2 linked regions of the Stegostoma tigrinum genome follow. The protein of the gene in region 2 interacts with the protein of the main gene of each other region in a biochemical or structural test. Links are inferred from orthologs where the notes say so. Each region holds a gene or a part of one and is shown on either strand. Other genes may lie near its edges.

Region 1 (16,655 bases), on a different chromosome or scaffold from region 2:
TGCCTTTTTATCTGGGATAAGAAGCACTTCTCTGAAAACGGTCATCCTACAGAATTCAAATTTTTTGATCAACATTTTCATGAATATGACACCAAAAGGTCTATTTTTTAAAAATTACTCTTTCACCTGTCTAAGAATCCACCTTGACATATCTAACACCATTTTAGCCTCAAGAGTTCCATAAAGGCTAGTTGCCCCTTGTGATACCCCAGAGTAAATTACTAATTCTCTCCAATTCACCAGTTTTATAAGCAGCTACCAGAACTTCATTGCGGCATCAATTGCAGTACATGCCGGTCATTCAAAATGGCAGATTGACCCAACTGCACAAGAGACCTCTGAAGTCAACTGAATCCTGTTTCTTCAATAATAGTTAAACAGTTCTCAGAACTTTGGTTTCTGGAACTCTTATTCAGATTATGTTGCATTCTAAAAGAAAAAAAATTGAATTCAGTGGAATGTCTGAAATCACGGTTTTCATTACTAGTTCCGATACAACTTACATACCAGATCTCAATGGGTATAATGTTGAATCCTGCTCAAAACACTGACCCCATATCCTCATTTTGGACAAATTGCTCCCTCAGCAACAATGTGCAAACATTGATTGTAAAACAACAATTCATGTGGCACGCAATCGGACAGGTACACTTCTGCAATAACAAGGTGTACAGCTATATGAACTTAGCAGACCAAGCAGCATCAGAGGAGCAGGAAAGCTGATGTTTCTGGCCTAGACCTTTCTTAATGAAGAAGGGTCGAGGCCTGAAACGTCAGCTTTCCTGCTCGGCCTGCTATGTTCATCCAGCTCTACACCTTGTTATCTCAGATTCTTCTGCATCTGCAGTTCCTACTATCTCAAATACACTTCTGCATTGGGAGTTTGAAACACTGCAACTCCAACTTGTGCACCGTATACCATCCTTGAGATTGCAAAGGCCACAGAACAGAGACAAACTTCAGTATCATGAGAATGTTTACTTCTAGTTCTGTTTGGAGGTTGTTCCTTGATTTTCATTTAATTGTGCAATTTAGACAAGCAGTGGCCTTTACTCATTCATTTGTCTATCAGAAGTACTCCTGAGAGGTCACCCCCTTGCACTATTTTTCTCTGCTGTTATCATTGTGTGACTCAGGAATTACTTCTAGACTCACTTGCATTGTGCTTTTGTATTTGCCACACTTTCACCCCAAACTGCCAGCACAAATGAGCAGAAAAGATTTGTAGTGCCTTCTGAACTGGAAAATTAAATCAACTAACAGAAGGCAAATTGACATCTCGCCTACAGACCAATTGATACAGACTGTTTCAACCACCTTGATTGAAATATTTGTATGAATCATCTGCCTTTGTTACTGGCAACTTACAGTCTGGTTGGCTAAATTTTTCTGCAATATTTCAGTAGTTACTAATTTCCTTTCGCAGTCCATCACTAAAAAGGAGTCTTAGCTACAGTATTCAAAACCATCACATCTAAGACTGAGCTCATCATGGGCAAATTTCCCACCATCAGTTAGACTCTTAATCAGGGCACCAAGGTCAGTGTGTATTTCTTAATGAGTATGTCTATGATTACCTGTGTTCTTAAAAATTATTATAGAAAGAGAAAATCTGGTCAAGTCTACAAAATATAGAATAGAAAAAGTTCCATCTTTGTCTCATGACTTTATATCCTTAGCAGCTACCTCATTAAAGTCACAAGCCTATGTCAGGCTTATAATGGGATATGGCAATGTCCTCAATTGAACAAATAAAATTAATACTGACAACAAATCTCTCGTTATATTGGTATTGGGTTATACTTTACAGTCTTCTGGAAACTATGCAAAATTCAACAATTTCAGATTCCAATCTCTGTACTGATTGCTTCTATTTCTAGCTCTTGACTGCATTTGGGCAGCAGCACACCTGTTCTGCGAAAATACTTGTTTCCTTTTTCTGCCCCATCACTACTCCATTTCATCGAAGAATGGCAGCGCAGAAAGACGCAACTTGGCTCATTATGCCTGCACTACCTCTATAAAACTAATACCAATCTACTGCCATTTCCCCCATCTTTGCATTTTATTTGGAATCAAATAATCATCCAATGCCATCTTGAATGCCTTAATCAAATCTTCCACAACTACATTTCCAGATACTGCATTCCTTACCCCGAGTACTCACTGAAAGTAAATGTTTTTTCTGACATCATCCTTGCTTCTTTTGCACATCATTTTAAATCTATATTCTCAATTTTTTCTTTTACAAGCAGGAACAGCTTCACTCTACCTACTCTTTTTAGCCTTCCTTTTATTTTGAAAACCTCTACCAAATCTCTAAATTAAATTTTCAAACCTAATACATTTCTCAGTTTTATAAGCTGGAAAAGTTGTCAAAACGTAGATTATTTCACTCCCTGCTGCTTTCAAACATGTCCTACAGATTCAGTGTCCATAGGTTTTGCTCTTGCATCTTCCAATGGTGCCTATCTTACGTACAAAACCATTATACTGCATGATACATTCCTTTCTAAATCAACCTTACATTTTATGCTCTAAACTTCACATTCTGCTAACCTCTTGTATTTTGCATTATTACTTGTTAACTCATAACTTACCTGCATTGGCTTCTGGTCCTGCATTTCTTTAATTTCAAATACTTATCGTTACTGTAAACTTTGAGTCCTCACACTTCACCATAACTCAAGGCCTGAAGGCCTCAGAACTCCTTGTTCTTTCAACTCCGACTTTTTATGAATTCATTCCTTTACATCGCCACTTACAGATGCTCCTTCACCTATCTACATACTTGGGTCTGGAACTCCCTCCCTGAACTTCCTTTAATCAGTCCTCTTTAAAATCCACCTAAGTGTTTCACATCTTTCCCAACATCATCTTTGGTTTGATATCTCAATCTCCCCAGTCAGAAATCTTGGGACAATTTTTCTACATTAAAAGGCACTTTGCAAGTCTGTATCATTGAATGCAAAATTCTTCCACCTGAGCCATTTTATTGTGTACCAACTACAGCATACGCCTCAGAAACTTTTTAACTTCAACAGTTTCTTCCAGTTTATTGGCTTCTACTGCTACAAAGGATAACAGCAAAATCAAAAGGAATAACAGCACTAGCAGCTGTCCCTCTGAATTACATATCATACTAACATCTGTTTACAAGGACTGGCTAAATACTTGGTACTTCTCTCATCTAACACAACCATGGGAGCACTGAAAGTCAACAATCATTCATTGATAGGCCATTTCAATCTTCTTAAAGAATTAAATGATGGATCAAAAATTCCACCCTTAAAATATTGATAATACTTACACATTAAGAAAACCTTTGCTTGGAATGATCAAAACAATGAAAACTTACCAACACCGTTTATACAATAGGAAATTAGATTATTCTCAGAGATAATAAGTGTTCTTTGCAGTTCATTTCTCTTCTTTCATTTAGGGTGCATGTACTTGTATTCAAATACCTGGGTGCAAAGGATTTACACTTGGGAAGGGAGAAAATACTCATACGAAGGGAAAAATATTCAAAACAAAAACTGTTGCATATGAATGCATTTCAAATCTTAGAAGAGATATTTAGTTGACCAGATCTCCTTTGGCATTAATCACATTGACAGAAAATGAGGGTTATGGAAATTATTTCAGCAGTAATTTTTACTGGCATTTAATCATGATTTTCTAGTCCTTGCACCTGTCTCAGGGTCTCAGTATTTTGAGGGGGGCCCAAGGTAAGGATCTTCACCGATGATTACATAATGTCCAACATCGCAGGCAGCTCATCATATACTGAAGCAGTACATGCTCAAATGTAACAAAATCTGGACAATATCCAGGCTCGGATAACAATTGGCAGGTAATATTTACACTACACAAATGCCAGATAACAGCCATCACCAGTAAAAAGACAATTTATCCAACACCCCGAGACATCCAATAGCATTAACATCACAGAATCCCCATAATCAACATCCAGGGGGTTACTATTGATTAGAAACTCAACTGGAATCACTATATAAATACAGTGATTACAAGAGCAGGTCATAGGCTAGGAATACTGTTGTGAGTAACTAACTTCATTACTCCCCATATCGTGTACACTATGTACAAGACACAAGTTAAGAGTACGGTAGAATACTTCCACTTGCCTTGATGAGTGCATCTCCAACATTACCCAAGAAGCTTGACACCATCCAGGAAAAAGCAGTCCATTTGATAAGCACATCAACAACCATCTACTCCCTCCACCATCAATGCTCAGTAGCAGCAGCATGTAGTATATGATGCACAGCAGAAATTCACCAAAAACTCCTAGGAAGTACCTTCCAAAACCACAATCTATTCCATCTAGAAGGACAAGGACAGCAGATGCACGGGGAACTCCATTGCCTACAAGTTGCCCTACAAGCCACTCACTATCTTAACTTGGAAATACATTGTTGTTCACTTACTGTTACTGGGTCAAAATCCTGGAATTCCCTTTGTAAGGCTATTGCAGGCCTACTGACAGCACATGGATTGTAGCGGTTCAAGAAAGCAGTTCACCACCATCTCAAAGGTAATTAGGTACAGGCAATAAACGCTCCTAGCTGGCAACATCCATGTTCTGTGAGTGAATACAAAAAGAATCCTCAAAGGATCAGAAATGGACGGGAGGGATAAATGGAAAGGAACCTGAATGCCTTTGATTCTTGTTGAAGTAAGCTTCAAAACCCCTTCCTTCAAATGTATTCCTTCTCCACCCAGTCAGCCTTCTCCCTGATCATATCCATGTTGCATCTTTAATAAAAAAAGAATTCCAGACCATTTTCCTTCATTATCAGTTATTTCCAGTCTTCATGCAACCGTTTTAAATATTTGATCAAACAAATACATGGACAAGACCATGAAATTCAGGAGTACTGAAACGTATTCTAGTTTAAAATGAGTGAATTTGCCCATTTGTGCAAGAAACTAAACTTGCGTAACTGAAACAAATCACTTTATAAATCTGAAGCTTCAAATTAAGAGATTTAACTGTTTTTAAATCATTATACCAGTGAGTAACTGAAACAAACATCCTGTCTGGCTAAATTGTTTCCATGTTCTTCTCTGCCAAGAAATAAAACCCACACTTGTTCTAATTACAGATGTTGCCTGGGTGTTTCAAGCATTAAGGCAACTGACAGGCTTTCCAGAAATTTAAAAGTCAAGAATTCTCTCTCCAATTCTTTCCAAAATCTTCTGAATAAAAGACAGAAACTCTTGAATTCTGAGTTCAACCTGAGTGTGGAGCAAATGAGTGTAAGAAAGTCTCATTCCATGGAAGCAAGTCCTCTCTGGTTTCATATGAAGTCAAGACTCTAGATTTGGACTGCCTTTACTTCATTAATTCTTCATTGCATTGTCACATAAACACACCGATTTTGATTTTGGTTAGCATATTTCATTAATGTTTTGGAATGAAAAAAATATTAACCGTTTTGAAGCATTAAAAAGGATAAGCTTTGCTGATGCTGAAAGTATAAATGAATACAGAGCAGTGTAACTTGGATATGGAAAGAGTAGTGCATTGATATTTCACCAAAATAGACAACACGTCTATATTTTAATAGTCAAAAACATACACACTGTTCCATAGTTGCATACTCGTGTGGTTGTATTCTTTGTCCTTTTACCTTATGCGGATTGCACAATAGGACAGCAACGTTTTTTTAAAAACGAGAAATGAGCAGCTGGTGCTTTTATGCAATCCCAATCACACAAAAATTCCCCAAGTATACTGACAACATCAGAATTGTTTTCAACCTGCTGCCAGTCTTTTGTTTGGGCAGGAGGTGGGGGTGGAGGGGTGGGGGGGTGTTGTGGAGGTGGTGTTGGAGGTTGAGTCGGTTCAACTTAGAGCATTTACACCTCATACACAAGTCAAACACATTATGGACAAACTACGGATGCATACTGAATTATTGTAAATGCAACATCATGAAGATTAAACGTGAACAACTGAAGCCCTAGATGTCTTCTAACTCAATGGCAGATTTATACAACCCAACACACTACAAAAGGGGAAACACTTACTCCTTTTGCCTCCTCGATTTGTTTTCAAAAAGTTCATTGAGGCAGATGGCTACCTGACCTAGGAATTTATCCAGCCCGACTAGGGAACGGTGCATGACAATCAGGTGGAGGATGTATTTCTCTGGAGTCCCCTGCAGCAGTAGACCAGGAAACTCGAAGGACACCTCCTCTTTCCATATCGGGCACAAGGTTTTCTCCGCCACCGAGGTCGAATATTTCTCCTTGCCCAGCTGGATGATGGTGTACGTGTCGTTGGTGCCGGTTTTGCTTTTGGGGTTGAGATCCCGGGCTTGCAAGACTGTCACTTGGACATGGGTAGGAAACCATGTCTGCGACTGCTCCGACAGCATCATCTACCTATTTCTTTTCGTTTTGTTTGCTTCGCTCGGTTATCTCATTGAAAGCACGCTTAGTCGGCGAATATTTAAACTCAAAGGCGCCCCGACCGCGCCGCCTTCACACTCCCTCACTGCTGCCGGGACATAAAAGGCCGAAATGTGATGAGAAAGGCCGATCCCGCTTCACCTCCCATCCTCGCCGCCTCCTGGTTGCGGGGGGGGGGGGGAAGGGTCAGAGGTGAGAGTTGAAACTCTTCCCCCGTCTCCCATAGCAACGCACTCGGCTTCGGTAACCCAGCGGGCATTTGCCCCGGGGTGTCAACTACAAGGCCAGTATCTCCAAACCGATCTTCGAGGTAAGCAATGTATTTACAGTTTTATTTTTGAAAAAAATATATATACACACACCTAAATAAACCTGATGTGCAGAGAGATGTCTGTGTAACTGGAATGAAGACGGACGTTATTTTTTTGTCATCGAATAAACCTCAAAGGTGACAAGAAGGATTGAAAATCCCATTTAAACAGTTGCGTTTTGCTTTCTCTTTTTTCTGGATGTTGGCACACGTGAACAGAGGATTTATAGTTTCCTTTAAACGTGCGGATGCCCCTTAACCCAGCGTGCAACCACCACCCCCACCCCACCCCCCAATCCTGCAGCTCTCGGGATAACCAACACAGCTTTTCCAGCAACTTTGTAGTTTTTTTTTATTCCTGATTCACAGCATCCGCAGTTCTGTCGGTTTTACTCGGGATAACCAAATTTGGTGAATTCCTTGCCTTTTCCGCAGGAGACATTGGCAACATTACCCGGCAAGCAAGATTAACTTCAAGCAGCTAACAGAATTGTATTTTCTTAAATTGGCAATCCAAATTTGAGAGTTTTAGATTTTCCCAGTGGAAGTTAGGGGATAAAAAAACTTCAAAAGAAGATTACATTTTCTTTAACAGCCCCTGGTTCCATTTAGGTAGTGACAATGATGTGGAGATGCCAGTGTTGGACGAGGGTGGACGACATCAGAAGTCATACAACGCCAGCTTATAAACCAACAGGTTTATTTAAAATTACAAGCTTTCAGAGTTGTACTCCTTTGTCAGGTGAACTGTTGATTATTGTTGTATCATACTTTTTGTCATGAAATTTCATGGTATATTGGTATTATTTGGAAATAGGTTGAAAAGTGGACTGAACATTTCATAGGTTTAAAATTGTTATGTTTAAATAAAAATCAAAGTGTAGAGCTGGATGAACACAGCAGGCCAAGCAGCATCTTAGGAGCACAAAAGCTGACGTTTCGGGCCCAGACCCATTTCTGATGAAGGGTCTAGCACCGAAATGTCAGTCTTTGTGCTCCTGAGATGCAGCTTGGCCTGCTGTGTTCATCCAGCTCTACACTTTGTTATCTCGGATTCTCCAGCATTTGCAGTTCCCATTATCTCCTGATACAACTTTATTTCTACATTATGTTTTTAGCACGATTTCAACCCAAGGCTCCACCTGGACCACTTTGAAAGTTTCTTTTTAAATGTTCCCTGCTGTCGGAAGGATGTTATGAAACTTGAAAGGTTTCAGAAAAGATTTGCGAGAATGTTGCCAAGGTTGGAGGGTTTGAGCTGTGGGAAGAGGCTGAATAGGTTGGGGCTATTTTTCATTATGCATCAGAGGCTGAGGCGTGATCTTATTGAGGTTTATAAAATCAGAAGGGACATGGATAGGTTAAATAGGCAAGGCCTTTTCTCTGGGGTAGGAGTCCAAAACTAGAAGACATAGGTTTACGGTGGAAAGGAAAAGATTGGAAGGAATCTAAGGGGGAATGTTTTCAAACAGAGGGTGGTGTGTGTATGGAATGAGCAGTTAGAGGAAGTGATGGAGGCTTGTACAGTTACAACATTTAAAAGGCATCTGGATGGGTACATGAAAAGGAAGGGTTTAAAGGGGTAGGGGCCAAATGCTGGCAGATGGGACCAGGTTTATTTGGGAAATTTGGTTGGCATGGACAAGTTGGACCAAAGGGTCTGTTTCTGTGCTGTACATCTCTATGACTCTGAGGAACTGTTGGAAATTCACTCTGTACACCCCACCTGCACCCTAAAATCCAAGTCAAGAGTTCCCCAAGCTGTAGATTGCATGCTGCCTGTCCTTCAAGGCACCAATGATGATTGTGGCAATGAGATTTGCCTGGTTGAAAGGCTGTTGGGAAAACCCTGATCCTACTGGATCATTGCTGTTAAAAAGCAAAGTTAGGCAATGAGTCCAAAGTACTCTTTAACCTCAGTGTCCAGTGGCCTCAGGATACTTGTGTGCTAACTAATTGCAGACAAAGTAAGGTGAAATTCAGTGAAAGTTTGTTTGACAAGCCCAGGATGAGGGAAGAATAAGTAAGCTGGGGTTCTGAGGAAGGGCCACTTGACCCGAAACGTTAACTCTGATTTCTTTCCGTGGATGCTTTCAGACTTGCTGAGCTTTTCCAGCAATTTTTTTCCCAGTTTTTATTTGGTTTAGCATATTGTTTGTGACTAATCATTAGATATATGATGTGGCTTTTAATGTTTTCTGCTGGAGTGATGTTGCTGATCACTTTTTATTGGCTCATGTTAAGATTCAAAGGAAAAAAAAAGGTTCAAGGTGGCTGTTACCTTGGCTGCTTTCAGCAGCGCTTTCCCTCTCCTTCATACTCTTCTCCTTCATGTTGCATCCCACCTCTTCCCACCCAGCATGCTCACTGCAACATCTGGCAACACCCTGTCACTTGCTGGTGTGTCGAAAAGGCTCAGTTTTAATTCTGAGTAGGTGAGTGGACTTTCAATGAATTAAAATTCTGCCCATATTCTCAGCTATGAAATTCAGTCAATTCCTATCAGCTCAATATATTTGGGTATTTATGCAAACATACTTGTCCTGCAGCGATGCCCAACTTTATGCTCTGTCCTTTGCTTCTTCCTCCAAGTGGCATGCAAAGCTCCTACTTGGTACTACTCCTCCTTATTCTTTTTTTCACTCCTGATAACTGGGCAATGTTGGCTGGGCAAGCATTTGTTGCCCACCGCTAGTTGTCCTTGGAAAGGTGATGGTGAACTATTTTCTTGAACCACTGCAATCCATTTGGTGCACCATCAATGATAATAGGGAGGGAGTTCGATTTCGGATGTGACGAGTGCTGCACTAGCTGTTGCTAAAAAAACTCCCACTAAACATTGCATTTTCAGCGCCACACTGTTTTAAACTGGTATACAAAGCTGAGAATTTCCTCAAATCCTGCTATTTGCCTTGAGGATGAAAATCCAAGCTTATATAATAGTTTCCTGCTCCTGCACTCTCCTTCAACTTTACACTGAATAACAAATCCAGCCAGGTTACAAATTCCTCTTTGGATTATTATGCTGTAGTTCCTATAATGTGTTTCACACGCTTCAATAAGCCCTGATATGCCTTTTAACCTGAAAGGCATAATATAGATGTGAGTCAAGACTTTTTTCCTTTGAACTGTTGCTAAACACTGACAATAAACAAACATAGTGAAATGTGTGATCTCTCCCACCCCTATTTTTTTTTCAGACCTCATCTGAGAGCCAAAGTGAAGTCACTCAACCATAACATGCAATCATCAGTGATAAGTATTCCTGGAAATCAAAGTAATTTCTGATTTGGGGTCAAGCACTTAATGCTTGAATGATGGTGCCAACCTGTCCTTTACAAAAACTCAAAACAATCTATCAGACACTGAATGAATATTAAAATGCAGTGAAATCAAACACATTTAAAGAACATCAGAAAGGATTTAATCAAATTTCTATGGTACTGAGAAATCTGAGATAACATGTAGATATAGGCTGAATAAAAAGGTAAATAATAGCTAAAAGAAACAGGCAAAAGTCTGTAAAGAACCAGGACATGAGGAACATGATTCAGCTTGAATGTAAACAGTACCTAAGGATTACTAAAATAGAAATCTGGAAAGTAAAAAAGAAATTAGAAAGGAAAATTGCAGTGGTTTATCAAGGGGAATAAGAAGTTTTTCAGTTATGTTCACAGAAGGCAGAGGATTAGAGAACACTTTGGGCCTCTAAAGGATAAGACTAGCAGATTAGTTGTGGAGGATCAGGGCATGGATGCATTTTTAAATGTGTTCTTCAGTTTGGTTTTCGCAAGAGAGGATTCCTGATCCCGTAAATAAGATGACTGAGAGAGCTGGGAGTGTTTAGTGAAGATAGATATTATTTGAGGAATTGTTATTAAGGACCTGAAGGCCTGACTGCATACATGTGGGAATTCTTGAGCAAGCACAAGAAGAAACAGCAGACGCTTTGGCAGAATGTTTTTTAGCTGCAGGAGAGCAGGTATAACACCAAAGAAGATGGTGATGTGGTTCTTACTGTTGAGATTTACACAATAATATTATTTTTGCTGAATGCTAGTATGAATTTAGGAGGCATCACTAAGTTAAGAGTAGTGGAGATGTAGTTGATGTAATACATAACCTAGGTGACCAACATGTATTCAATAGATTTATTGGGAAATGAGTTACAAAAGCAACACTTTTAGGATTTAAAAGAAAAGCAATGGACAAAATATTAAGGAACTTTTTATTTAAGAAACAGGATAATGGAGTGATTACCTGGCTGAAGAGAAATAATCTTTGAGGCAGTGGTATTTAGGCAACTGCTTGGAAATGTGCTAACTGGGAGACAGTCTAACTGGGAGATATTCATGGAAAGCCATATATTGACGGTACTTGCAAGGTTCAGGTCAGACTAATGACATGAGAATTTGAAGAAAAACTGGGATCTAAGATGTGATTAGATTCATCTATGGTCAGAAAGGCAGTTTCGAAGATTCTCTTGACATTGTTAGTGACAAATATGTGGGAATGTAGAACAATTGAAATATTAAAATTTCATTTCTGTCCAATTCAAAATGAAGTAGGTAACAAATGTAGTGGGATTAATCGAGAAATTAACTACACATATTATGGCTATAGAGTTTGTTATTTCTCACTAATGCCTGTCTAATAAAAATTGAACTACCTCCTGTCGAAAGCAGGGCCTGCCATGTTTTACTGGCATTGCAAGGAGGTTTCAGGCACTATTATGATCCATGCAGACATATTTTTGTGGGGTGGAAGCAGTGAATTTGAAAACATTGTCATAAGAGAACTGAAAACAGAATTCAAAATTTGAAGTAACAAGGTGTAGAGCTGGATGAATACAGCAGGCCAACCAGCATCAGAGGAGCAGGAAGGCTAACTTTTCGGACCTAGACCCTTCTGAAATGGGGGAGAGGAAGGGGATTCTGAAATCAGTAGGGAGAAAGGGGGAGGCGGATAGAAGATAGAGGAGAAAATAGGTGGAGAGGAGACGGAAAAGTCAAGGAGGCAGAGTTGGAGTCAGTAAAGGTGAGTATCGGTGGGGAGTCAGGGAGGGGATAGGTTGGTCCAGGGAGGACGGACATGTCACGGAGGCGGGATGAGGCTAATAGGTAGGAGGTGGTGGTTGGGGCTTGAGGTGGGAGGAGTGGATAGGTGGGAGGACAGTTTAGGGTGGCGGGTACGAGCTGGGCTGGTTTTGGGATGCAGTGGGGGAGGGGAGATGTTGAAGCTTGTGAAGACTACTTTGGTACCATTGGGCTGCAGGGTTCCCAAGCGAAATAAAAGATGCTGTTCCTGCAACCTTCGAGTGGCATCGTTGTGGCACTGCAGGAGGCCCAGGATGTCATTCAAGGAGTGGGAGGCAGAATTGAAATGATTCATGACTGGGAGGTGCAGTTGTTTGTTGTGAATCAATTGTAGGTGTTCTGCAAAACAATCCCCAAGCCTCCGTTTGGTTTCCCTGATGTAGAGGAGGCCGTATTTGGAATAGCGGATGCAGTATACCACATTAGCAGATGTGCAGGTGAACATTTATTTGATGTGGAAAGTCTTCTAAAGGCCTGGGATGGGGGTGAGGGTTGAGGTGTAGGGGCAGATGTAGCACTTCCTGTGGTTGCACGGAAAATTGCCGGGGCTGGTGGGGAGTGTGGAGTGGACAAGGGAGTCACGGAGAGAGTGGTCCCTCCGGAAAGCAGATAAAGATGGGGAGGTAAAAATATCTTTGGTAGTGGGGTCGGATTGCAGATGGCGGAAGTGTCGGAGGATGATGCGTTGGATCCGGAGGTTGGTGGGTTGGTACGTGAGGATGATGATGCCACATCTACCACCACCCGGTATGCCACTTCCGGTACAGCAAACGCCATCGACACCGCTGCTGATGCTGCAGCCTCCATTTTCGAGGCCAACACCACAGACATCAAGGGCGACGCTACTGCCGCCACCAACACCCAAGATTTACTGGCCTCCAATGCTCCGCCCACCACTGATTACGCCCCACCCACAGGCAACTGCTGATGCCACTCCACCCATTGCCAGCAACTCCAGAGGAGACAGCAGCATCCAGCCCTGCTGGATCTTCACCATTCTCCCAGAGCTCCCCCTCACGGAGGGCGAACAGTCAGTCCTCAATGAAGGGCTCACCTTTGTTCCCCTCCACCCAAACAGCAATGAATACAATTCACGCTTGGACATTGAACAGTTTTTCCACCGCCTCCATATCGGCGCTTACTTCTTTAATCGTGAGTCTAATGCTCCCTCTACTGACCCCTTCTCCCGCCTCCAACACAACACCTCCTCCAAGACACCACCCCCAAGTCCTCCTACCCTCCCTTGACATCTTCATCTCCAACTGCTGTCACAACATTGATCGCCTCAACCTCTCCACCCCACTCAGCCACTCCAACCTCTCCCGCACAGAACATGTAGCCTTCCGCTCCCTCCACTCCAAACCCGACCTCACCATAAAACCCGCGGACAAGGGAGGCACAATTGTGGTATGGCACACTGACCTCTACATCGCCAAGGCCAGGCACCAACTCTCCGACACCACCTCCTACTGCCTCCTTGATCGTGACCTCACCCTGTCCACCAAAACATTATCTCCCAAACCATCCACAACTTCATCACCTCAGGTGACCTCCCACCCACAGCCTCCAACCTCATCGTTCCCCAACCTCGCAGTACCCGCTTCTATCTCCTTCCCAAATTCCACAAATCTGACTGTCCTGGTCGACTCATTGTCTCCATTTGCTCCTGCCCCACCGAACTCATCTCCACTTATCTTGACTCCGTTTTCTCCCCCTTGATCCAGGAACTCCCCACCTACACCCATGATAGCGCCCACACCCTCCATCTCCTCCAAAACTTCCGATTCCCTGGTCCCCAACACCTCATCTTTACCATGGACATCCAGTCCCTATACACTTGCCTTCCCCATGCAGATGGCCTGAAGGCCGTCCACTTCTTCCTGCCCCGCAGGCCTGACCTGTCCCCTTCCACCGACACAATCATCTGCTTAGCTGAACTCGTCCTCACCTTTAACAACTCTTCCTTCAACTCCTCCCACTTTCTCCAGAAAAAGGGGGTGGCCATGGGTACCCACATAGGCCCAAGCTATGCCTGCTTTTTTGTAGGAGACGTAGAACAGTCCCTCTTCCGAAGCTACACTGGCCCTATCCGTGACCTCTTCCTCTGTTACATTGATGACTGTATTGGTGCCACCTTGAGCTCAAACAGTTCATCCACTTCATGAACACCTTGCACCCCAACCTTAAGTTCACCTGGACCATCTCCGATACCTCTGTCTCCCACCTGGACCTCTTTATTTCCATCTCTGGCAACCACCTAGAAACCGATATCCATTTCAAGCCCACCGACTCCCGCAGCTAACTGAGTACACCCCCTCTCACCCGCCTTCCTGCAAAAAGGCCATCCCCTATTTCCAATTCCTTCGCCTCCGCCGCATGTGCTCCTGACATGAGGCATTCCACTCCCGGACATCCCAGATGTCCTTGTTTTTCAAGGACTGAAACTTCCCCTCCAGAGTGGTTGGAAACACCCTTGACTGTGTCTCTTGCATTTCCCGCAGCGCATGCCTCATAATCTCTCCCTGTAATAACAACCAAAACAGAATCCCCCTCATCTGCACATACCACCCCACCAACCTCTAGATCCAACGCATTGTCCTCCGACACTTCCACCATCTGCAATCCGACCCCATCACCAAAGACATTTTTCCCTCCCCACCCTTACCTGCTTTCTGGAGGGAGCACTCTCTCCTTAACTCCCTTGTCCGCTCCACGCTCCCCTCCAGCCCCACCACCCCCGGAACTTTTCCCTGCCACCGCAGGAAGTGCTACACCTGCCCCTAGTGGGTGCTATCACGGATGTATGTGGGGAGGTCCTGGATCAAGGGGAGAAAACGGAGTCAAGATAAGTGGAGATGAGTTCGGTGGGGCAGGAGCAAGTGGAGACAATGAATTGACCAGGGCAGTCAGGTTTGTGGATTACCCTCTCACCCCCATCCCAGGCCGTAAGAAGACTTTCCACATCAAACAGATATTCACCCGCACATCTGCTAATGTGGTATATCGTGTCCGCTGTTCCCATTGTAGTGTCCTCTACATCGGGGAAACCAAATGGAGGCTTGGGGACTGCTTTGTGGAACACCTACAATTGGTTCGCAACAAACAACTGCACTTCCCAGTCATGAACCATTTCAACTCTGCCTCCCACTCATTGAATTACATGTCCATCCTGGGCCTCCTGCAGTGCCACAACGATGCCACCCAAAGGTTGCAGGAACAGCATCTCATATTTCGCTTGGGTACCCTGCAGCCCATTAGTATCAATGTGGACTTCACAAGCTTCAAAATCTCCCCTCCCCCTACCGCATCCCAAAACCAGCCCAGCTCGTGCCCACCTCCCTAACCTGTCCTTCCTCACACCTATCCACTCCTCCCACCTCAAGCCCTACTCCTACCTCCTAGCCCCATTCCTCCTCCTTGACCTGTCGGTCCTCCCCGGACCGACCTAACCCCTCCCTAATTCCCCACCTACACTCACCTTTACAGGCTCTAAGCCCACCTCTTTGACCTGCCTAGCTCCTCTCCACCTATCTTCTCCTCTATCCATCTTCTTTCCACCCCCCCCTTTCTCCCTAATTACTTCAGAATCCCCTTCCCCTCCCCCATTTCCGAAGGGGGGCCTTGGCCTGAAACATCAGCTTTCCTGCTCCTCTGATGCTGTTTGGCCTGCTGTGTTCATCCAGCTCTACACCTTATTTCAGATTCTCCAGCATTAACAGTTCCTACTATCTCTGTATCAAAATTTGAAGTGAAGCTTTTACAAACATTGAATTAGAAATAAAGTAGAATAGATCAGGTGACATTTTGCATTAGCAATCTAATGTAGAAAATATTTGCACGATTGCAATTTGTCAAAGTCAGGCCTGGAGAAAAGATGCAATACCTTTCAGAATTGAGATGAGAGAATTGTGCATATTAATTGGACAACCGAATTGCTGAGTACTCAAATAAGATGAGATTCTAATTTTGAGGTCCTGATGGTGACTATGAAAAATCCCAAGTTAGAAAGTTTTATTTTAAGTGAATAAAATTTTGAATAAAATAGAATGTGGTATTTTGAATTTTCCAACATTTTGAAGGGCCGGAAACATGGAACTCATCGTGTTTAGTGATGCTTCCTTTGCACACTTCTGTGAGTTCTCAAATGCGAAAGGGTTTATAATTTACAACAGTGTGACATCCCTACCTGCTTCAAGAAGTCCATCATCACCTGGTGCCAAAGAAAACTCGTGCAGAGTGCCTCAATGACTACCGGTGCTCTGACCTCCGTAATTATTAGGTATGCAAGAGGTTAGTTGTGGCTTACATCAATTCTAGCCTCCCAGCCTGCCTTGCAATTGACCTACCATTGCAACAGGTCCATGGCAGACAACATCTCTCTGGCCCTGCACTCATCCCTGGAACATCTAAATAACAAGAATATATATATCAGGTTCCTACTTATTGACTAAAGCTGTGCCTTCAACACCATTATTCCAGTTAAACTAATCTCCAAACTCTGAAGCTTAGGTCTCTGTTTCACCCTCTGCAACGGGAGCCTCCACTTCCTAACTCATTGACTGCAGTCAGTGAGAATAGACAACAACACCTCCTGCATGCTAAGCTTTAACACCAGTGCCCCATAGGGCTATATAGTCAGCCCCTTAGTATATCCCTGTACACTGATGTCTGTGTGGTCAAATTCTGCCCTAACTCCAAATACAAGTTCGCTGATAACATCGCTGTTGTAGGCCAGATGTAAAACAATGACAAAACAGAATATAGAAAGGAGAAAGTGCTTGGTGGCATGCAGTAATGATAACAATCTC
Region 2 (16,697 bases):
TTGAGCTGCTGCAGTCCTTGGGGACTGGGTCCCCCAGAATGCCATTAGGGCATGAGGTCTAGAATTTTGACCCATGAAGGAATAGAGGTATAGTTTTAGTTCGGGATATAGTGTGGTGCTGAAACAGAAACTTGCAGCTGATCATGTTCCCATGCACCTGTTGTCCTTGTCCATCCAGATGACGAAAAAGTTTGCAAGATGTCGCTGAAGATGGTAAAGGGGGCAGATGGTGAAAGTGGTGGATGGGCTGCCAATCAGGCAGGCTACTTGCCCTAGATGGCTGAACTTCTTGAGCATTGTTAGAGCTGCACTCATCCAGGAAAATGGAAAATATTCTAGCACATTCCTGACTTGTACGTTATAGGCAGGTCCTGGGAATTCATGAGGCAAAATTACCTGCCATGGAATTCTCAGTCTCTGGCCTGCTCATGAAACCACTATTTATTTGGAGGTCCATCTCAGTATTGGCTGTAAGTAACCCCCATGGTGTTACCTGTGGGGTTCAGTGATGAAAATGCTATTTAATAGCAAGGGTCAATGGTTAGATTATCACTTGTTGGACTGCATTACCTGGCACTTAACAAGTAGCAAATAACCAACGCATCACAAATCAACCCAAGCATTGTCCAGGTCTTACTTCATACGGATATGAACTGCTTCAGGAGCTGAGAATGAATATGGCAAAACAGTCCCACTTCTATACATATCCTCATTTACTCAGCCTTGCCATTATAGTTCTCAGCATTCTCTTTGGCAAAAGTTAGTGAACATAAAATCTTCAGTAGTTTGCTTTAATACCAGTATAATAACATGTTATTGGGAAAATGTTAGAATCTATTATGAAAATTGTAATACAGCATTTAGAATACATAATATGATCAAGTTGAGTCAGCATGGTTTCATGAAGGGGAAATCATGCCTGACAATTTTATTAGAATTCTTTGTGGGAGTAAAAAGCAGGGTAGATTAAAGAGGAAAAGTGGAGGTAATATGGTTGGATTTTCAACAGGCATTTGGTAAAAAAGGTGCCACAATAGTCGACTTAATCAGTCCTGAGTTCTGAAGAAAGAGTCCTGCCACCTTCCCTTACCCTTTGATCCCCTTACTAATCAAGTATTAACTTTGTCAATGTTTTTGGTGACATCACGTGGGGGTCAAAGTTAATACTTGATTAGTAAGGGGATCAAAGGGTAAGGGAAAGCTGCAGAAGAATGAGACTAAGAAACAGATCAGCCATGATTGAACAGCAGAGCAGATTCAATGGGCTGAATAGCCTAATTCAGCTCTTGTGACTTATGATCTTATAAAAAGATCTGTCCATAAATTTAAAGATGATGTCTCCTCAGTCACAAGTTTCTGTTTGGTTCTTTATTTGACACCCGAGGTGGCCAATTCTCACCTACAGATCTTTGCGATGAGGAACAGAATGTATAGAATGTTTTGTTTCTTTCTCTACTACTGTACTGCCTGATCAATAAAATGTGAGTCTAAGCATGGTACAACATGACAGACAGATTATAGCCATTTCAAATGAATGACAACAAGCTCCTCCCAATCAAAGTTAAATGTTTCCAAACTTCAGCGAGTCTTTCTAGCATGTTCTTTGCTCTTCCCAAGGCCAGCCATTTCAGAATGGCAAGAATAGGGCCAGACGGTGGAAAAAAAAGAATGCTTCACCATGCAGACAACATTCAGCCAATCAGTTGATTTCACAGGAGTTTTGCCTGAATGAAGGTCCTCCGATTAAATTCAGAGAAAGCAGTGGAGGCGTAGCTGGTGGAATTTCGCTAGCTCCTTACATATCATCGATGCAGAGTTTAGATATCACTTCAATTCAGGAGTGTGCTGACAACACTGGTCTGTACACTAGGCTTTTTGTTGACTTTCAGAGATCCCTATTGTCAGACACTCACTGCCTTTGTTTGTAGAAAGAGGAGCTCACCCAGAGAATCCGGTGCTGGATTTGCTCAAATATTCAGCACCTACCCCATTTAGAACAGTGGTAGTGTCATACCACACATTGCAGGCTATTTTCAATTTGAAGATGGGACCATCACTATAAAGGGTCACGACAAATGCTTCCATGGGAAAGGTACATCAGTTGATTTTTTCACTATCCCTTGTAGGTCCAGACTGGCAGACATGCTCTTCAGGACTCGGTCAGCAGTGCTATTAGTAAACCACTCTTGTTGGTTGGTATTGACATCCTCTATAAGCAGTACATTCTACATCTTTTCAAAGCAGGGTGCAACATAGAGGAAAGAGAGAGATAATGGGAACTGCAGATGCTGGGGGATCCGAGACAACAAATCGGGGAGCTGGATGAACACAGCAGGCCAAGCAGCATCTTCGGAGCACAAAAGCTGACATTTCGGGCCTAGGCCCTCCATCAGAAAAGGGGGATGGGGAGAGGGTTCTGAAATATATAGGGAGGCGGGCCAAAGATGGATAGAAGAGAGATAGGTGGAGAGGAGAGTACAGGTGGAGAGCTAATAGGTCAGTCCCAGGAGGGTGGACAGGTCAAGGTGGCGGGATGAGGTTAGTAGGTAGGCAAACCACCTAGAAACCAATGTCTATTTCAAGCCCACTGACTCCCACAGCTCCTAGAAAACACCTCCTCCCACCTGCAAAAATTCCATCTCCTATTCCCATTTTCTTTGCCAGCTGATTTGCAAAATGTGGGTTGAATTCCTGCACCAACTTTGGTTACTGTCAAGGACTCTCCTTTTCATTCTTTCTCATCACTTGAGTAGTGACCCTTAGGTTAAATTATCATTTGCCTCTTTCTAATGAGAGAATAGACCTATGGTCCAGTATGACTATGGCAACTTTATATCACTGTGCTGTCAACTCTGGTTAGTCTGTTCTGCTGTTAGCATAGAACCTAACCATGAATGGTAATGGAGACTTCTGGGAAACCAGCAGCATGGAACAGCCCCTGTATTAGCACAAATCTGCAGATGTTACTGAGAACCACTTTCCATGCTTAAATGGACAGGGTGTATCCATTGTTTTAGCTCAATGGCACGTAAACTGCCCCATTTTATTCTTGTCTGACTTTTCTATAAGTTTGTTGCAACAAATCACCAGTTAAGTCACTTCTGGGATAATTCAGGGATAAGCACATGTGAATTTAGGCTATTGCATAAAATACGGAGTCATGGGATTGAGGGTGATTGAACACTTTGGATCAAAAATTGCCTAGTTGGAAGACGACAGAGGGTGGTGGTTGATGGGAAATGTTCATCCTCGAGTTCTGTAACTAGTGGTGTCGCGCAAGGATTTGTTTTGGGGCCACTGCTGTTTGTCATTTTTATAAATGACCTGGATGAGGGTGCAGAAGGATGGGTTAGTAAATTTGCAGATGACACTAAAGTCAGTGGAGTTGTGGATAGTGTGGAAGGATGTTGCAGGTTACACAGGGATATAGATAAGCTGCAGAGATGGGCTTAGAGGTGGCAAATGGAATTTAATGCGGAAAAACCTGAGGTGATTCACTTTGGAAGGAGTAACAGGAATACAGAATACTGAGCTAATGGTAAGATCCTTGGTAGTGTGGATGAGCAGAGAAATCTCAGTGTCCATGTGCATAGATCCCTGAAAGTTGCCACCCAGGTTGATAGGGTTGTTAAGAAGGCATACGGTGTGTTAGGTTTTATTGGTAGAGGGATTGATTTTCCGAGCCATGAGGTCATGTTGCAGCTGTACAGAACTCTGGTGCTGCTGCACTTGGGAGTGTTGCATACAGTTCTGGTCACCGCATTATAGGAAGGATGTGGAAACATTGGAAAGGGTGCAGAGGAGATTTACCAGGATGTTTCCTGGTATGGAGGGAAGGTCTTATGAGGAAAGGCTGAGAGACTTGAGGCTATTTTCGTTAGAGAGAAGGTGGTTAAGAGGTGACCTAATTGAGACATACAAGATGATCAGAGGGTTAGATAGAGCGGACAATGAGAGCCTTTTTCCTCAGATGGAGGTGGCTAGCACGAGGGGACATAGCTTTAAATTGATGGGTGTTAGATCTCGGACAGATGTCAGAGGTAGGCTCTTTAATCAGAGAGTAGTAAGGGTGTGGAATGCCCTGCCTGCAACAGTAGTGGACTCGCCAACTTTAAGGGCATGTAAATGGTCATTGGATAAGCATATGGATAATAATGGAATAGTGCAGGTTAGATGGGCTTCAGTCTGGTTTCACAGGTCGGCGCAGCATCGAGGGCCAAAGGGCCTGTACTGTGTTGTAGTGTTCTATGTTGTAATCACATGTAGGTCAAACTAGGTGAAGTCACTAGAATTCCTGACACTTGGACATTAAAAAAAAGCCAAAGCATTACTAATGTGGTTATATTGTAATCAGCACAACTAATTATTTCATAAAATTCCAGATTTTAAGTAAAACTAATTTAAATTCCTCCTGGATCCTTTGTGCAATTTTATAGCAAATCTCCAAAGTCTTACTTGTCCAATAACATTTACCACAGCGCTCCCACTTCCCATCGAAAGAGATATCCCAATAACAGGGCAGTCAGACTCGGATGTTACTAGCAAGATAAAAGTTTTATTTTATAAAATAAAAGTATCCAGGCATTGTTTTTAGTGTCACCAATAAAAAGATTTTTGAGGAAACGAAACTGTTCCCTAATCGCGTAGAACTAAAGAAGAGACATTCTCACTGTGTCCAGATTTGTGTAGTATTCAGTCCATTGAATCAAATTTGCATTAAAGGTGCTTTCAGCGTTTTCAAAAATACGTTTTTTTAAAATTCAAGGAACGGCGGATACCGGTGATCTGGAGCAAACAAAAACACATATTGCTGGAGAAACTCAGGTCTGACAGCATCTAGAGAGAAAAAACCCGATAATGGGTCCCTGCGTTCGACAAGTCAAATCGTTTCTCCCCACAGATGCTGCAAACCTGCCGAGTTTCTCCAGCAATCTCTTTTTTTTAAAATTGAATTTCTCTCGTCTTTCCGGATCAAGAGACAAACAGCAAAACTTGAAACCGTGCAACTCAGAAGGTAGAACTGTATTTTTTAAAAAACTATTCAAACTTGTGCAGGTATTTTTATGCCTGTTCCCGATTTTGCTAAAGCCACAGACGATCCCAACCTCTCTCACACAACCTGCACCATTAAACACCTGCTCCGCACTACCCGCTTCGAGGAGATCGCATTAAATGTTTACCTTTGAAAAAGAAAACTAAACAAACAAGGATTGCTTGCCACAAATGAAAATTACTTCAAACTTTATCGCGCAACATTGACTTTAATCTCAACGGCAGCGGGAAATTAAATGTTTACTGGAGCTTCCGAATCAACACAGGAGAACGGAAGGAAGGTGGAGAAACTGATTTTTAAAATGAAACATTTAAAAGAAATGAGGATAGGACTGCGATAGTGGTTTTCCTCCTAATTAGTATTATCGTGGGGCTTGGTGCGCAGCGCGCTGTCGACTTTAACACTTTTTAATTTGGAATGAAAGTGGTATCCAGGAGATTGTAACCATTTTAAATGGCTACAATCTCCCCAACACTCACCTTGCTGTAAAGTTCCGAGGCTGACATGTCGATCTGTACTTTGTCTGCCTTCTTCCTCCTGCTGCTGAAGCAATGGGAAGATGGACGTGTGGCCACCCCCCAGCCGCTTTAGTTACCATCCACATTGGACATTAGCGAAGCGATGTCTCCATTAGTCGCCATTTTTCCTGCTTTTCTGCAGCGACCTTTCACTCAGGTGTAAAGTTGGTGTCAAGATCTCCGCCCCTAGGCTTTAAGCCGCTCCCCGACCTGGTGCTTTTATTTCTAATTCGGGGAAAGTGGGATTTATACTAACAGTAAGAATCACAAATGACTCCAACAGACGCGCCGTGCGCGCTTTGCAACGGGAGAGCGAAAACAAAACGAAAAATGCTTGCGTTTGTAGAAAGCTTCGCAAGGTGCTCTGATTTCCCGTGTCACTGAAACCAAGCTTTTCCCCCAGGAGGCTCTGGGAACGGGTGAGCCATCTGCTGGTGACTTCCGCGTTTTGAGATTCCGCGCCAGTGCCGGCTTGAGGACTGCGACAGTGTTTGCACCTGTCTCTTCCCCTGCGGTGGTGATCGCTGCTTCCCCAGCCTCTGTCCTCTTCCAAACCTAGCCCGGGCTCCTGTCTTCCCCTCACAAATGCCCTCTAGTTTCCAGCAATTGAAGAATTCTTCAAGTAATTTACCCTCCATCTAAAATAAAGACAGCAGGGCTTTAAAACAAAGCTTTTCTACCTCTACTTTGCACACTTTTATTTGTTAGATGTGCAAAGAGTAAGAGACTGGGGGAAAAGTCGTTCCCATTGTCAATGTAAAGTCTGGCTACCTGAGGGGCTTTGCGGTGAAGTGCTCAACCGAAAGGATGTCATGAAGTGATCAATAGCCTGAGTGTGTGAGCTGCCGCCCATATCTTTTCTATGTGGGTTCTTTTGGGACTGACATGGTCTAGTGTCTGTGAGGGTAGCTGTCGTCCGGTCTATTGAGAACAGTTCTGCAGAGTAAGCAAGATGCAGATTATTGCATCTCTGCAACCATTTGCAAATGATAACAAGAGGATCATTACTGCAAAGGCTGTTGAGAGGACTTCTCTTTAGGTCTGGTTCTCACAAGAGCCTCATGACATCACCGTAGCGAATGATGCTTATTGCGCTCAAGAGTTTATCCTTACAAACCCATACACAGCACTTCACCTACGACGTTTTCTTTCCGATAACTATTATTGTCACGTATTTGTTTATACAATTAGATTTACCACCTCTCCAACCCCTCCCCAATGTCAAGTACAAATTAGGACAATCTCGTGTTTCTCTATTCTCCTAGGATGTCTTCTTTTCAGACTTGGACGAGGTATAAATTGTGGTTAATGAAGATCTGAAACAAAAACAAGAAATTGCTGGAGAAGCTCAGCAGGTCTGGCAGCATCTGTGGGAGAGATGCAGCGATAATATGTCCAATGTACGGACAGTGTGGATTTTTAAAGGGGAAACTGTTTAACCAGCTTGTTGGAGTTTTTTGAAGAAGTGATGGACAGGCTTATGGCGTATTGATGGATTTCCAGAAGACATTTGATGCAGTGGCTCACATCAGACTTGTAGGCCATGTGTTATGAACCAGACCAAACCCCTTCAAGACATGTCAAGGATATAGCCCAGACCCTAACTTTTTTTGTTGTTTTAAAGACAAATGCCAGGTGTGTGTTGTGAATGCATTTCGATTGGTCAAATTATCAGGCTTAAAGCGAAACACACTTTATTCATGCACTATAGTTAAAATACAGTCAAAATAAAAGAAAAGAATTGGCTTAACTTTAACTCTATCAAGATAACTAACAAAATTAATAAGCTAGCCATTAACTGTTCCAATCCAGTAACATTCCATAATCACACCTTTGGCAAAGTTAAAGTCAGTAAAATAGATTGTCTCACAAGCAGCTCTATCAGCAGATCGAGAATGCCCAGCTTTTAGCTGTGACAGAGAGGGGAAAACAGTTTTACCCTAACCCTAACCTTATCACAGCTTCAAGACCTCAGCAACTGCTACTGAAAGTTGAAGTTAAAACCTTAGTGCTGTGAGTGCTTGATTTCACCCATTCAGGCTGCTTCTATTGTTCTAATTTTTAAAAAGCCCCAAGGCCTCCTGTTTATTGGTTTTGAACAGACTGCTGGACACCTCTGTCTCAAACTGTCCATTTAAAAAAAAGAACAGGATAACATAACCCTCTTAAAGTCAGAATATCATCATACTTGATTTAAAAGGAACAGTGGCAACATGGGTATGAAATTGGCTGAATGATAGAAAGCAGAGAACAATGATCAATGGATATTTTTCAGGCTGGAGGAAGGTTTGTAATGGAATTCCGGAGGAGTCAGTACTGAGACCCTTGATTTTTCTGCTTTAAATGATGCGGATCTTGGTGGACAGTGGGACAATTTCCACACATCCAGTTAACACTTAACTCAGAAGAATTGTTAGTTGAGAGGAGGACAGTGTGGAACTCCAAAAGGATGGCAATAAGTTGGTATAGTGGGCAACTGGGTGGCAGATGTGGTTCAATGCAGAAAAGTGGTGCACTTTGGTAGGATCTTTTCGTGGGGAGCAGAGATCGTTAGTCCCCAGCTTTGATCTGTATCAGTTTTCCTTGAACTCTTCAGGGTTACCAGCACATGGATTAGATTCATAGAATCCCTACAATGTGGAAGCAGACCATTCAGCCCATCAAGTCCAAGCTGGCCCTCCGAAGACCATCCCACCCAGACCAACACCCCAACCCTATTCCTGTAACCCTGTTTTTCTCATAGCTAACCCCACTAGCCTGCACACCCCTGGACACTACAGGCAATTTAGCTTGGCTAGTCCACCTAACCTGCACATCTTTGGACTGTGGGAGGAAACTGGAGCACCCAGAGGAAAGCCACACAGACACGGGGAGAATTTGCAAACTCCACACAAACAGTTGCCTGAGGGTGGGATCAAACCCGGGTCCCTGATGCTGTGAGGCAGTAATGCTAGCCACTGAGCCACTATTCTTGTGTGGTATGCAATGTCATTTGTATGATGAAGTCCACATTCTGGTATAATGAGTACAGTCTTGCAGAGTAAATTAAATATCTCTTATTGCATCTCTGAAACTGTTTACAGGTTATAAGAATATGAGTCAGGGTCATTTGGTTGAAGCACATTCAGAGGGTTTGCCACAAAAGCTTTTGCCACTGGTACATGGTGAAGGTAGAACATGGGGCCTTACAGCAGTATATCCACCCCCCTTGACTCTTCATCGCTGGCAAATATGACTGACTGCCTGGCATTGTGTCTGAACAAAAAGCAGGTGAAATAAAGTTCTGCAAGCCTATACATTCGGAACAAGGTGGCAATGCAGGAAAGCACAAGGCAAGGCAGAGATGCTTTAAGCATCCAATCAAGCACAAAGAGAGTGAGCACTGCAAGGGTAAGATAACAGCTCTGACTCAATGCACCCCATACAAATGAATAAGGAGGGTCTATCTCTGTACACAAAGCAATCTGGCAGCACCATTTCAATAGAAAGATCAGCACTCTGAAGTACAGTATGAAATGGTGAGCTGTATATTAAGTGAGTCGGAGATGTGCCATGATGGTGTGAGACCAAGGCTTGGTTGTGCCAGCCTCTGTGGACAAAGAGTACAGAAAGTCACTACTTGTGGAGTGTACCCTGAGGTGTTGGGGGGAATGTTGGCTAAGATAGAAGCTCAGAGAAGACACTAACAAGCCTCTGCCACAGGTAACCATTCAGACTTTCATTTCAAGTCCAGTTTCTCTCCACTGCCTAGAAAGATAGTAACTCAGACAAAAATAAGGTGAAATTAGGTGATGATGCAATTTTTTAAATATCTATTCATCATGGCATATGGGCATCGCTTGCTGGGCCAGCATTTCTTACCCATCTATAGTTGATCTTGAGAGGATAGTGGTGAGTTCCCCTCTTGAACTGCTGTTGTCCATGTGCTGCTGCTAATGTGTGCAGATAGGTGCCAATCCACTCACTAGCAAGATTCCCATCTAGTCATCCCATCGACACTTCATCAGAACTGAAGAGAGATGGAAATCGAGGTGGATGGTAGATGAGGCAAGTGGAATTAAGATTCACAGAAGTTAATGGGCAAGGGAGAACTTTCATGACACTGGTCAGTTTCCACAGGAAGCTGATCATCTGGTTTGCATTCTAACTCCTGCTTTTGTTGGATCCTTTTCACCAATTCTGGCCAATTTGTCCTTTCTTTTCATCAATTCTGGCTAATTTATCCATTGTTAGTGATTGGGGACATTAGGACTAGTTGTCATGATTGGACGTTCCTGATCTCTGTATCTGCCAATGCAATGCACTTAACTGATTGAGCCTTTAGAAGTCTCTCAGACCAATGGCAATGTATGAACAGACAAATACTGATCGAAAGCCTAGTGTATGAGAAATACCACATCCATTTTAAATATCACTGAATGATGAATGGCAACATTTTTCTTTGTTAAATCCGACATTTATACAGCACCATTCAGCACCTCAGGATAACACATGCCACTTCACAGCCAATGAAGTATTTTTGAAGCATAATTGCTGTTGTATACAGGATGCATGGCAGCTAATAAGTAGACAGCAAGCACCCAGCAAAGAAATAACTAGTTTGATTATCTGTTTTACCAGTGGCAGTTGAGGGCTAAATATTAACTAGATGTGCTGTTTTCTTGAGTTTTTAGCACGATGATGGTTTTTGACAGTGCGTTAACAAAAAGTGTGTTTAAATGTATGTGTAAGTCAGCATAACTAAGCATGACCTACATTAAAGGTGGTCTAATGTTGCTTTAATTTTGAACCCCAAAATCTGTTGTTTGACTTAAATACCTTAATATAAAGTTCTGGCTCAGTGAAATACCTCTTTTGTTCTGAAACAGGCAGTATTGTTTTGAGCAAATTATTATTTGTGTTTCATATAGTAAAGTGAACATTTGCACTCCTAATGAGAGTTGTATGGACTTAGGTCTGACAGAGATCCAAAACCATACAATACTGTACAAAGTGTTAGGGCAAAGGGCGAGGTTGGTAGGTGTATGGAATGCTGGATGACGAGAGAAATTGAGGTTTTAGTCAAGAATAAGAAGGAAGCATATGTCAGGTTAAGACAGCAGAGATGGAATGAATCCCTAGGAAAGTATGAAGGCAGTGGGCGTATGATTAAGAGGGAAATCGGGAGGGCAGTAAGGGTCATGAGATAGCTTTGGCAAATAGGGTTGAAGAGAATCCAAAGGGATTCTACAAATGCTTTATGAACAAAAGGGTAACAAGGGAGAGAATAGGGCCCCTTAAAGATCAACAAGGCTAACTATGTGTGAAATCAGGAGATGGGGGACAGATGAAATGAGTATTTTGCAAAAACGAGTGTTTTTGGTGGAAAAGAATATGGAAGATAGTGAAAGTGGGTGATTAAATAGCAACATCTTGAAAAATGTCCAAATTACAGAGGAGCAGGTGCTGGATATCTTAAAATGTATAAAGGTGGATAAATCCCCAAGACCCTAGAACACAGTGGGAAAATAGAAAAAAGTTTGCTGGGCCCTTTGCTGAGATATTTTTTATCAGCGACAGCTGCAGGGGAGGTGCTGGAAGATTGGAGGTTGGCTAACATGATGCCATTATTTAAGAAAGGTGCTAAGGTAAAGCCAGGGAACTATAGACCAATGAGCCTAACATCAGCAGTGGGCAAGTTGTTGAAGAGAATTCTGAGGGACAGGATTTACATGGATTTGGAAAGGCAAGAACTGATTAGGGAGTCAACATGGCTTTGTGGGTGGGAAGTTGTGTCTCACAAGCTTGATTGAGTTTTTTGAAGAAGTAACAAAGACGATTGGTGAGGGCAGAATGATGGACATGATCTATATGGACTTCAGTAAGGCATACAACATGGTTCCTCACGGCAGACTGGTTAGCAAAGTAAGATCACATGGAGTAGAGGGAGAACAGATTTTGGATACAGAGCTGCTTCGAAGGTAGAAGACAGAGAATGGGGATGGAGGGTTGCTTTTCAGACTGGAGGCCCGTGACCAACAGCATGCCACAACGATCGGTGCTGGGTTCACTGCTTTTCATCATTTATATAAATGAAATTGATGTGAACATAGGAGGTATGGTTAGTGAGTTTGTAGATGACACCAAAATTGGACATGTAGTGGTCAGTGAAGAAGGTTATCTCAGAGCACAAAGAAATCTTGATCAGAAGGGCCAATGAGCCAAGGAGTGGCAGATGGAGTTAAATTTAGATAAATGTGAGGTGTTGCATTTTGATTAGGCAAATCAGGGCAGGACTTATACGCGTAACGGTAGGGCCCTGGAGAGTGTTGCTAAACAAAGAGGCTTTGGACCACAGGTTCATAGTCCGCTGAAAGTGGAGTCACAGGTAGATAGGACAGTGAAGAAGGCATTTGATATGCTTGCCTTTATTGGTCAGTGTATTGAGCATAGGAGTTGGGTGGTTGTGTGGCAGCTCTACAGGACATTGGTAAGGCCACTTTTGGAAAACTGCTTGGATTTCAGGCCTCCCTGCTACAGGAAGGATGTTGTAAAACTTGAAAGGGTTCAGAAAAGATTTACAAAGATGTTGCCCGGGTTGAAGGGTTTGAGCTATAAGGACAGGCTGAATAGACTGGGGCTGCTTTCCCTGGAGTGTTGGAGGCTGAGGGGTAACCTTTTAGAGGTTTATAAAATCATGACGGACACAGATAAGGTGAATAGCCAAGGTCTTTTCCCCAGGGTGGGGGAGTCCAAAACAGGGCATACATTTAAGGGACCAAAGGGGCAAATTTTCCCACTGAGGGTGGTGCACGTAGAATGAGCTGCCAGAGAAAGTGGTGGAGGCTGGTATAGTTGCAACATTTAAAGGGGATCTGGATGGGCATATGAATAGGAAGGGTTTAGAGGGATAAGTGCCAAATGCCAGCAAGTGGGACTAGACTTATGGAAGTTATCTGGTTGGCCATGGATGAGTTGGACCAAAGGGTCTATTTCCATGCTGTACAGTTCTAAGACTCTATGACCTGGGAATTTTTACCTTCCTGGGCTTTACCCCGATGGACCTTAACGGTCACTCACCTGAATATATTGGAAATCACTAATTGACCAGTGGACAGGAATGAGATCTTGGGCAGTAGGTGACCACTACCAGAGAATCAAAGGAATGGATTTTGGCATTCGGGTAAGTGCTGTGAGTGGGAATGTATATCTGGGATAGGGCTACAATAAAGCTAACTGTGATATCTGAAGGAACATACTTTCTATACCTTCCCTTGCCAACAAATCAAACTACATTTCTTGGACTCTTCTGGCCCCAGTTTAGTTTGGCAGGGAAGCCACATTAGTCTCCTCATAGAGATCTTCAATGATGATTACTATAAAGTCCTGTTCACATTCTCAGTGTTTGATCTTCATATTTGAGAAGAATTAAAGCATCATACTTGTGTGACAGATAGAGAAGGCAAAAATTACAAGCCGCAGCATGGCAACAGAATTGGAAGGATATGTCATTGTAGCCATTGCTTACCTTGTCTGCCAAATGTGTTAAAATCACCCAGCAGAGTCTGATTTCTAAAGTAACTTGCTTGTTTTGGCTCCCAGAGGAGGTACATTAAAATAATTAATTTTATAATCATAGTCATATCATTTGTATAATTAGTATCTAATTAATTTTTAGCTACAACAAAGCTAAATGTCAAAACTCAAACTCACTCATGTATTGCTGATTCCTTTTACTCTGTTTGTTTACACAGGGACGTAGCAAAAGCTAGCATTCATAAGCCGCTTTTGCATTTCAATCAATTTAGAAAGGCCGAGTGTTCCTCAGTTCTGAGGAGGGGCCACTGGACCTGAAACGTTAACTCTGATTTTTTTCTTCACAGATGCTGCCAGACCTGCTGAGCTTTTCCAGCAACTTCTGTTTTTGTTCCTGATTTGCACATTTACGGTTCTTTCAATTTTTAAAAAGGCTGAGAGTCTATTCGGCTGATTGACTGTACACTGAGATTAATGAATAGCATTTTGTTGGGGTTATTTTATGTCTTCAAGACACTGTCCTCCACTTGAATCCAGTATGATACAAGTACAGGGTAGGCTTGGCTTCTTGTCTTATCCTAATACTCAGGAACAGTTGGCACTGCACCCTCAACTGCACTGTGTGCACAGTATTGATTAATCAGATCTGAGGCCATATTAAGAAATAACTCTCCTTTATGTAAAGTAAAAGTCAGACCTGAATGTTGTTGTTGTGTTATGTTAGAAGATGTTTACTTCAACACAACTTAGCTTGAGTTTGAGTTGCCTCTGGGCATTTTGTGCGTCGTTTTCTTTTGTTCAGTCAATTCATTAGTATAGATGTGTTAAATTATTGTCCATGTAATATGAATATAAATATGTGCTTATTTAAGAAACATGGGCATTGGAAATTCTTAGAGTACAACACAAATATAGTCATATTTTTGTTTATTCATTGAAGAAGTGTCGGTAGATAGGCAGCAGAACTTCAGCAAATAAAAAGAAAATGATTTAGGACTTTATTCAGTTTACCTTTTCAAGGAATATGGATGTCAATGACAGGGCCAGCAGTTATTGCCCATCCCTAGTTGCACTGGAATAAAGTGGCTTGCTGGGCCCTTTGAAAGAATAGTGAAAAGATTGTTGTGAATCTGGAGTCACATATGGGCCAGACCAGGTAAAGAAGACAGTTTTCACTCCATATAGGGCAATCATGCCCCAGGTAAGTGTTTACAAAGTTGTTGATAGTTGTCATGGTGACCAGCACTGAAACTAGGTTTCCATCCAGATTTTATTAACTGAATTTCAATTCCACCAGCTGCCCTGATTGGATTCAAAATTTGTCCCCAAAGTATAATGTAAAGACCTTGCCTTTGTATTTTTCCGACATTTTTGATGGTGGTGTGAAATCAGAAAAAGCCAGAGCTTTCAATGATTGCCGCATGACTTCAAAGGATGTAACAAGAAACATAGACATAGAAACATAGAAAATAGGTGCAGGAGCCGGCCATTCAGTCCTTAAAACCTGCACTAACATTCATGGCTCATCACATAATGTCGTGGTCCCATTCCCACCCTCTCCTCATACCCATTGATCGCTTTGTCCACAAAGGTATTGTCCAGCTCCCTCTTGAATATATCTAATGAACTGGCCCCAGCAGCTTTCTTTGGGAGAGAATTCCACAGGGAATTCCACAACTCTCTGAGAAAATAAATTCTTCCTTATCTCAGTCCTGAATGGCTTACCTCCTATTCTTAGACTGTGACACTTTGGTTTGGACTTCCCCAACATCAGGAACATCCTTCCCACATGTACCCTGTCCAGTCCAATCAGGATTTTATATGTTTCTGTGAGATCCCCCCACATTCTTCTAAATTCCACTGAGTACAAGCCCAGTCGATCCAACCTCTCCTCATATGTCAGTCCTGCCATCCTGGGAATCAGCTTGGTAAACCTTTGCTGGATTCCCTCATGAGGAAACCAGAACTGCACACAATACTGAAGGTGTGGACTCACCAAGGCCCTGTATAACTACGGCAAGACATCCTGACTCCAATACTCAAATCATGTTGCTTTGTAGGCCAGCGTGCCATTAGCATTCCTCACGGCCTGCTGCACCCACATGGCAACCTTCAGTGACTGTTCCACCATGACACCCAGTGTTGTCTCATGTGCTTTACAGGCAGATTGTACTGTACAAGTGCATCAGGGTAACATGAACAGAATGCACGATACAATCTTCTGCTGAATGGAAGAGGGTGAAAAAGAATATAACCTGGGTAAGAGGGGTCAAAGGAGTACAGAACTTATGCACTGTCAAAGATGTTGTCTAATAAATGAAATGTTTGGATAAGATCCATCTGACCTCCAAGGTTGATATAAAAGATCCTGAAGTGTGATCTGATCAGCTATGATTTTATTGAACGGTGGAGCAGGATCGATTGGCTGAATGGTATTCCCCTGTTCTTGATTTGAATATTGAATATATTGTCTGAAGAAATGTAAGGGTGCTCCCTTAACCACTTTCTATCCTTAATCAATACCACTGAACAAAACACCGAACTATTCGCCTCATTATTTGCTGTTTGTCAGACTTAGAATGTAGAACAGTACAGCACAGTACAGGCCCTTCAGCCCACAATATTGTGCCAAAATTTTACCCGAAACCTCCATTTGCCTACCTAATAGCCGCTTAAATGCCCCTAATGAGGCTGACTCCACTAACCTCTCCGGCAATGCATTCCACGCCCCTAACACTCTCTGAGTAAAGAATCTACCTCTGACGTCTCCCCAATATCTACCTCCTCTCACTTTAAGACGATGTCGCCTCATAATAGCTACCTCCACCCTCGGAAAAAGTCCCTGGCTGTCCACTCTATCTATACCTCTAATCATTTTGTACTCCTCTATCAAGTCACCACTCATCCTTCATTGTTCTAAAGACAAAAGCCCTACCTCTCACAACCTTTCCTTGTAAGACCTTCCCTCCATTCCAAGCAACATCCTGGTAAATCTCCTCAGCACCTTTTCCAACGCTTCCACATCTTTCTTGTAATGCGACAACCAGAACTGGACACAATACTCCAGATGTGGCTGAACCAGGTTTTTGTATAGCTGGAGCGTAACTTCGTGGCTCTTGAACTCAATCCCTCTATTAGTGAAAGCCAACACACCATACGCCTTCTTAACAACTCTTTCCACCTGGTGGCAGCTTTCAGGGAACTGTGGACGTGGACTCCTATTAGCTATGGAAAAATTGTCTACAGCAGTGGCTCTGTTTCAAAAAGTGTTTTTTTGTCTATAAATTGTGTGAATGTTACCTCCCACTAGTCAGCTCAAAACTGGTTGTTATTCAGGCTGATGGAAACTGCCATTACTCTGCATTATTATTAATAAAACATATTTAAACTTTCCATTCACATGAATGATAGTTCACTCATTCTTGTGACTCAGGCAATAAAGTTTAGTTAAAATGGATTCTTATTCATATGTTTATTTTTCAGATTTAAATTTATGAAATGAGTAAGATGAATTTTTATTTTACAGAAACTACATGAGGCCTTTGAAAGGCAGTTGGACACATAAATCATTTTAATTCCAACCATAACTTACAGTTAGTCGCGTGTTAGCT

The links.
Region 1: the proteins of myo5b (region 2) and rab11 family-interacting protein 2 form a complex in vitro, tested with the Homo sapiens proteins (2 studies listed by BioGRID). The link is inferred for Stegostoma tigrinum from reciprocal best matches to the Homo sapiens genes MYO5B and RAB11FIP2.

The regions. Positions count from the first base shown.
Region 1 is NC_081373.1:19,051,920-19,068,574, reverse strand, and holds the start of rab11 family-interacting protein 2, read right to left. Parts: upstream 6,599-16,655; 5' UTR 6,411-6,598; coding exon 6,058-6,410; intron 1-6,057. UniProt on the Homo sapiens protein: A Rab11 effector binding preferentially phosphatidylinositol 3,4,5-trisphosphate (PtdInsP3) and phosphatidic acid (PA) and acting in the regulation of the transport of vesicles from the endosomal recycling compartment (ERC) to the plasma membrane.
Region 2 is NC_081354.1:158,438,553-158,455,249, reverse strand, and holds the start of myo5b (unconventional myosin-Vb), read right to left. Parts: upstream 5,961-16,697; 5' UTR 5,560-5,960; coding exon 5,533-5,559; intron 1-5,532. UniProt on the Homo sapiens protein: May be involved in vesicular trafficking via its association with the CART complex. The CART complex is necessary for efficient transferrin receptor recycling but not for EGFR degradation.